Linked DNA regions of Ovis aries. The protein of the gene in region 1 purifies or fractionates together with the protein of each later gene. This does not show direct contact. Links are inferred from orthologs where the notes say so. Each region holds a gene or a part of one and is shown on either strand. Other genes may lie near its edges. The genes, in order: PTPRO and SDF2L1.

Region 1 (3,586 bases):
GCTGCCTGCCCTCTGCAGAGCATCTGGACCTTTCTGGTGTTTGGTCGAATTTGGTCCATTATTGAATGTCCAGAAGTGAAAGAGTCCAAAAGACACAGTAGGCTCTTTAAGGCTAAGTCTTTCCGGTGCTCATATGAGATAAATTATCTCCTTGGCCACATACTACAAAGTGGGGCTCTTTTTTAGCAAATGGCTAGTAGGGCCCCCCTAAAAAACTCTGGGAGCAAAGGGGGATGGGTACACATCATGTTCTGTCCTGTGAATGAGGGAGAGAGAGAGAGAGAAAGAGAGAAAGAGATGGTAAGTAGCCTGGGAGAGCAAAGCTACTCATCAACAACCCTGTGGCTGGACGTGCTTTCTTTGATCACTTTCTGACTCCATCACTAGCTCTCATTACACTCAACCCCACAGCCCACGAGGATGTGGATTTACCTGGGCATCTTTCTCTGTGCACATCCTCCTTTCTATGGCTCTGAATGCCTTTCCTTCTGCTTGCAAATTTGTCTCTGTCTGTCTTCCCATGGAGAAGTGGGCTACAGTTCATGAGATCTCAAAGAGTCCTTCAGTCATGTCTGAAGCGACTTAGGACACACACGTCTTCTCTTATTTTTTATCCTTCCTGCTTCCTCGTGCTTCCTGTCTCTCTTTGTTGACGGATGTAAAGGACCAATGCTAATCCTATGGTGGTACCCACTGGTCCATATCCTTTCATGTTTCCACAAGGCACCCCTCTCCTTTCTCTCCCTGTCAGTGGTGCCCCCAATACCAATATATTCAGACACATGCCATGCTCTGTTTACCCAATTGAATCTTTTAAGATTATTTGTTACTTTAGGCACAATTATTTGCACCTCCAAAATCTGATCTATGGAGAATGTGAGAGCAAGGTATTGACTGTGGTATAATTTTTTCAGGATGTCCTCAAGTAACTGCTCATATAACAGATGAAATCAAGGCATTTCCAAACTCCGATAACCTGAGACTATTGTCAATATTGTTTTTCTTCTTTGGGAGTGTTGACTTCAGCTCATATTTCCTTTGTAACTCTTTCTATGGCACTTGTAGTCAACAAAATATTTGCATAAAGTATCTAGACAAATAGTGATGGTGGTTTAGTCGCTAAGTCATTTCCCACTCTTTTGTGACCCCATGGACTGTAGCCCACCTGGTCCCTCTGTCCATGGGATTTTTCCAGGCAAGAATACTGGAGTGGGTTGCAAGTAGGGTTGGATGGTAATATCCTGATTGGATCTGCAGGCACAGATTTAATATCAGAGTAATTTAAGCTTTAGGCAGGAGGGAATAGAGCTCCAATCTTTGTGAGTTGCTGAAGCTCCTGCATTGCCATACTCACCAACCAAGGCACACTGAAGCTCTAAGATCTGCTACTGTCTCTTTCCCTATGGCCAACTCTGTGGGGGCAGAGTCAGTGCAAATAGCTGCTGCCGCCTTTGCTTTATCCCATCATATCCTCTCTCACTGTTCTAAGACAGGGTGCCCATGATGGGGTATTCTCTACTTACTTGTTGGGATTCTGAGCTAGGAATTGCTGACATTCTCATAGATGACGTCACTGATACAGAACTGCTGCTTCTTCTTCATCCACATCAGTTGCACACACTGATGGATAAAAATGTACTGCTCCTGGAGCAAAAGATAAAGATGCTTTAGAGCAAGGTATCTTTATGTAACGACCTCCCTGGAGCCAGTGTTTAAGATTCTGTGCTTCAGCTGCAGGGGGCATGGGTTCAATCCCTGGTCAGGGAACTAAGATTCCACATACCACGCGGCAAGGCCAAAACTAAAAAAAGATATGTTTGTGCAAAAAATAATATTTGTAATACTATGGGAGTATTAAATACTATGATGAATGTCAAAGGAAACAATCTTCATTATTTGTAACATACAATTTCAAAACTAGACGATCCAAGAGAATCAACTGTAAAAATATTTTGTTTAATAATAGGATTTAGATTACACTACTTAATGCTAAAGGCAATGAATATTCAATCAGTAAATCATGGGGCTTTTTCAAAAAAAATTGCACATTGCCTCATAATACACTGAAATAAATTCCAAGAAGCTTAATAAATTAAGCCATAAAAATATAAAGGCATATATAGATTAATTCTTCTCTGATTACTTTATGGAAGGGCTTTCTAAATTTTTTTTGGCCATGCCATACCCCATATGGGATCTTAGTTCCTGGACTAGGGATCAAAGCCACACCCCCTGCATCAGAAGCACAGAGTCTTAAACACTGACTTGCTAGGGAGGCCCCTGGGCTTTCTAAACTTTAAACAATGAAATAAATTAGAACAAAGATGTCAAACTGTTGTATGTAAAAAGTAGAAAAAAGAATAACATAAAGGGCAAAATAGAAACTGAGAGGGAAAAATATTTTCAAGAATTATGACAAATGTCAACACCTTTATCTCTGTTTAAAATTCATCCATATCAGTAACATACACACTTAAATTGGCAAATAGATAAAATCTACTAACCACTAAGTAAGTAAGTAAGTGAGTGAAGTCGCTCAGCCATGTCCAACTCTTTGCGACCCCCTGGACTGTAGCCTGCCAAGCTCCTCCATCCATGGGATTCTCCAGGCAAGAATGCTGGAGTGGGTTACCGTTTCCTTCTCCAGGGGATTTTCCCGACCCAGGGATTGAACCCGGGTCTCCCACATTGGAGGCAGACGCTTTAACCTCTGAGCCACTAGACCAAATATTCCTGAAAGGCAGGGCCTGGGTGTTTTTTATTCCTAATACCCAGCACTTTGTTTGTACTTCCTAAATGTTTTTTAAGGTAAACTGAGAAAATATTAAAACATGTACAAAAAATGGCCAATAAAAAAACTGTAAACTAAAACAATTATTTTTTTAAATCTATGAAGTGAGTAAAGTTAAAAAGTAGCATTCAATGATGATTTGAATTTGTTGAACCAGCCATTTTTAACCAGTTGGTGGAGGTACAATTAATAAAATGCTAATAAATGACGTTGTGTGGATGGACAGAAGTAAGAAAGCAGGAAGGAAGTGAGGGAGTATTCAGTCTTTAAAATGAGATTTATAGAGTTTTAGGCAATTTAGGATGATACACATGGCAAAATCTTCAGTGAAAATTCAGAATGCAAAATTATGATATGTCTATAGAGCATATGAGTACAATCACGTGAACGTTATACTTGACTAAGGCCGAGATGTTGTTATTGCTGTTGTTCAGTTGCTAAGTCGTGTCTGACTCTCTGTGGCCCCGTGGACTGCAGCATGCCAGTCTTCCCTGTCCTTCACTATCTCCCGGAGTGTGCTCGGATTCATGTTCATTGAGTCAGTGATGCCATCTAACCATCTCATCTTCCACCAGCCCCGTCTCCTTCTGCCTTTAATCTTTCCGAATACCAAAATGTTGACAGTAGCTATCTTTATCCCATTTCCTTTTCCCTATTTCCCAGACTTTCTCTCTAAGTAATACCATTAAAAATGATCTTTAAATAAGAACCAGTTAAAATATCCGCAGGATTTTAAGGAGTCTCTTGTTTGACAACTTCATGCAAATGATGAGGCTAAAGACTTCAGACTTCCTT
Region 2 (3,993 bases), on another chromosome or scaffold:
AGAGCTTTCCTCTCACGCCCTAAGGGCAACTGACTTCTCGGAAGTCAGGTGCTCACGCTCCTCCAAGGCCCTTCCCACTGGTTGCCACCCCCGGCCTCTCCTTGGGCTACTCTCCTGCCGGAAAAGTGGCACCCTCTGACCCCCGCAGCTCAAGTCCTTCAGCCTGTAATCTCTGCCATCACCTCTAGAGGGCACCACGCACCAGCAAAACTGCTATTACCGTCCTCTGTCAAGGGCCAGCCGATTTCAACACTTTGACAGCTCAGTGTGACTCTTCTTCCAGGAAGCCTTCTCAGATGTCTGCAGGCGGCAGTCCTCTGTGGTTATCTTCCCTTGCAATACCTTTTTAAGTTCTGTTAGGGCCTCCGGGGTTTGGGGCCAGCTGAGTGTGTGGGGTGCCGATCTGCACGGAGACAGGGATCTTGCGATATGAATCTCCACCAGATGGGCAGAGTCCTGGCCCAGTGCTTGGTCAAAGCCAAGGGTCCAGACTGTCACAACTGCCAGGGGAAGGGATGCCCTTCAAGGGACGAGAGACTGGCCAGCTTGTGCCCATCCCAGCTGGTAGGGAGCAGGGCTGCTGCAATCTGCTGAGACCTTAGCCCTTCTCAGGAAGGTTCATGGAGCTGGAGGCCATCTGAGGGTGGGGGGAGGGGGCTGTGATGGCCCCGGGCAGTGTTGAGAGTGCACAGAAGAGCGTCCGAGAGGTCTGGATGGGTTCAGCCACCAGCCGTGCTGGAGACAGAGCTTTCACACTGAGGAAGAGATGCTGAGTGGGACCAGCTGGCAGCTTCAGGTCAGCCCCAGGCTCACAGCAAAGTGCGACCAGAGACCAACATTCTTTAATCATAAAGGCACTTGAGAACCCCTACAAAGCCAAAGTCCCCCCGGAGAGTCGTCTGCAGACAACGCCCCCCGCAGCCCTCCGCCCCCCGGTCCACAGCGCTCAGAGCTCATCGTGGCCCCCAGGGGCCTCCGGGCTGGGCTTGATGAAGACGCCTTCCATGGCCTTCCACTTATTGTGGGCGCTGGCACTGGCCATGCCATGCACCTCATGCTGCCCCCGGATTGGGCTCCCGTACTGCTCACCAGTGACCGACAGGAACACGGAGGTGCCCACGTGCTGGAAGCGCACGGCAGCCTCTCGCTCCCAGTGCAGCCCTGAGCAGCGCACGGTCCACAGGTCCAGGTCGTCCCCCTCGCCGTCCTCCCCAAAGGCGCTCACCTCCTGTGGGGGCAGAGGGGGTGAGGACCGCAGTCGTGACAGAGGGAGCCCTGAGGCCCCTGCGGGCCCCTGCCAGGCAGCGGCACTCACTTCCCTATACCTCCCCCTAATACTCAGCTTCCACAGCTGCCAACTGCGACCACCCCCCCAGCCCTGAGTCCCCCCAACACGGGCTCTTCAAACACGTGCACACCCCATCTCACCTACCTGGGTGGCGACCACTGGCCCCCAAGGAGTCAAGGCCTCCCCCACTCCCTCCTCCTCCAGTTCCTTCTGTCTTAAACCCTCTGACCTTCACTCAGCATCATGTCTGCCACTCAGGCTGACAGTCAAGGTTCTATTATCTCATCCTTTTCTTTGGATAAGCCCCCAACCACCCTCTGTTCCAGCCCCACCGCCCTCCCAGTTCCAATGAACTCGCACACAGGCAGGCTCTTGTCCAGGCCTGGGAAGACGCCCATCTCCTCCCTGGATTCCTCCTCATCCTTCCAGGGCCGGCCTGAGTGCCTCCTCGCTGCGGAGTTTCCCATTCTCCACGGCAACTGCCGTGTGGATCCCCCTCCTGGGTCCAGCTCCCGCCCAGGAGTGGAGCTCTCCAGCCAGACGGCTGTTCCAGCTGTGTCCCCGCGGAGCTGAAGGCTCCAGGGGGTAGGCGCCGGTGGGGATCATCTCTCTGTCCCCAGAGTGGGCGCCGGGCAAACGCTTCTAACTTGACGCTCCCATTTCACAGAGGAAAGCTGGGGCTCTGAGCAGGTGCCCAGGCCCCGCGGCTCACAAGCCAGGGGGGCTCACCTGGTTGTTGGTCAGCGGCGACGGGAAGTGGTGCGTGTGCAGGTTCTTGCCGGTGAGCACGTGCGTCAGCCGCACCGCCTGCCCGCAGCGCACCGGGGACCCGCGCGGACACCCTCCCTCCGTGTCGCCGCGGATTCGCCAGTAGCTGTTGGCGTCGTCGGACGCCTCCACGCCGGTTACCGACTGCTGGCCGCTGCCTGGGGACGACACCCCATCCCCGGGGTGGCCGTCAACGTGGCAACGCCGACCGTCGCCCCGGACAACCTCCGCTTTCCCGACGGCCTCGACCCTGGGACCCAACGGCTCCACAAGCCGCTCCCCGCCCCCCGCCCGCCTCTGGTCGCACTCCGAGGTCCACCGCTCCGAACGGCGTCCCGACCGCGCCCTCGAAACCGCCGGCCTCCGGCCCTGAGGACCCCCAGCCCCCTGGCCCGCGGGGACCCAGCGCCCAGCCCGCCGTCGGGCGGCCCCGGCCGCGCACCGGATCCGTATTTGATGTCGTGCGAGTGCAGCCGCACCCGGTGCTGCGTGTTGAACAGCTTCAGCACCGACCCGCAGGTCACGAGCCCCGCGTCGGTCTTGGCGGCACGGCCCCCCGACAGCGAGAGGGCCAGCAGTAGCCCCAGCAGCGCCGGGCCCGCAGCTCGACCGCGGCCCGCGCTCCACATCGCCCCGGCAGGGCTCCGGCAACTCGGCCAGCGGTCGCTTCCGTCTCCGCCGCCGGCCAATCCGGACTCCGACAGGGCCCGCCGCAGCAGCCAATCGCCGGCCTGCACGGCGCTCCGCCTCTGCTGCCATTGGGTCCGCGCCGGAGAGACCCGCCCCCAGCTTCGGCGAGCGGCGGCTGGGAGGGCCCTGGCGACACGAGGAAAGTTTTGATTGGTCCACGCCTCCGAGGGCTGACCAATGAGGATCCAGGGGAGGCCCGGGCGGCTCCAAGCCGCGGGAGTGCTGGATGCCCGGCGGCTGCCGCCTAGGGCGCCGCTCTAGCGCCCGCCGGGCTCCGGTTCACCCTATCACCTTGATCCCAGATCCCCTGGCCCTCAGTGATGGTGTCCCCCTCGGACCCCGGGTCCACAGCTGCAGGGTCTTGACGTTGCTCGACTACTAGATTATGTGGTCACCAGTGGACACATCTCGGATTACGCAGTCACATGCTCCTTCAGTCCCTGAACCTAATCCTCCAGTCGCTCGAACAGTGCCCCCTGACACTGCGTCACATCGGTGTCCCTGGACCCTGGGGATTCTGAATTCCCTGGGCCCTTCCAGGGCAGAATCTCATGGTCTCTAGGCCGCTGGGCAGCAGAGGGCAGCAGGGAGCTGTGGTGTAGAGGCTAGCAGTCTTCAGAAGACCCTGAGCTGCCTCGGGAAGTGGCTGCAAACCAAGCCTGGGTGACTGTGTGTCCCAGGCTGGGGACTCACTGCCTTCTCAGAGAGCTGTCTGCTCAGTCCTGTAAGGGGGGAAACTTACACCGCTGTTTATTTATTCATTCGTGGAATATTCTAAACTTGACTTCACTCCAGGCCCTTCAGTTCAGCCCAGCCCAGGAATCGGCTGACTGCTCGGCACTTGGGCACCAGCAAAGCAGGGAGGGAAAAAAAAAAAAAGTTCATGTTTGATTAAATCATCCAGAAGTTAGCATTCAGAAAATCCAGGATAGAGTCATTTAAATTACAGCAATGGATTAGTTTTCGGGTTTCATATTCCCCCTGACTTGGTGCTGATCAGCTAGCTTGTGGGCTGTTAGTTCCCTGACCAGGGATCAAACCGGCGCCTCCTGCGGTGGAAGTGTGGAGTCCTAACCACTGGGCCACCAGGAAGTCCCAGTTTTCAGGCTTAACATTGTCTTTATTTGGAATTCCATGTAGGACAAGGCGTCTTGATCTTTTCAACACTCAGTGTCTAAAATGCTGTCTGCCCTGGATTTAGTAGATCCTACCTTGGAGGGGCCTCCAAACCAGGCAGAGGGGCTAGA

Evidence for each region.
Region 2: the proteins of PTPRO (region 1) and SDF2L1 purify together in Homo sapiens (affinity purification with mass spectrometry; 3 studies listed by BioGRID and IntAct, with this or other methods). This does not show direct contact. The link is inferred for Ovis aries from reciprocal best matches to the Homo sapiens genes PTPRO and SDF2L1.

What each region holds. Positions count from the first base shown.
Region 1 is NC_056056.1:199,965,107-199,968,692, forward strand, and holds part of PTPRO (receptor-type tyrosine-protein phosphatase O), read right to left. Parts: intron 1,645-3,586; coding exon 1,540-1,644; 3' UTR 1,524-1,539; intron 257-1,523; exon of another isoform or gene 1-256.
Region 2 is NC_056070.1:72,149,965-72,153,957, forward strand, and holds SDF2L1 (stromal cell-derived factor 2-like protein 1), read right to left. Parts: upstream 2,711-3,993; 5' UTR 2,686-2,710; coding exon 2,499-2,685; intron 2,215-2,498; coding exon 2,018-2,214; intron 1,229-2,017; coding exon 947-1,228; 3' UTR 785-946; downstream 1-784.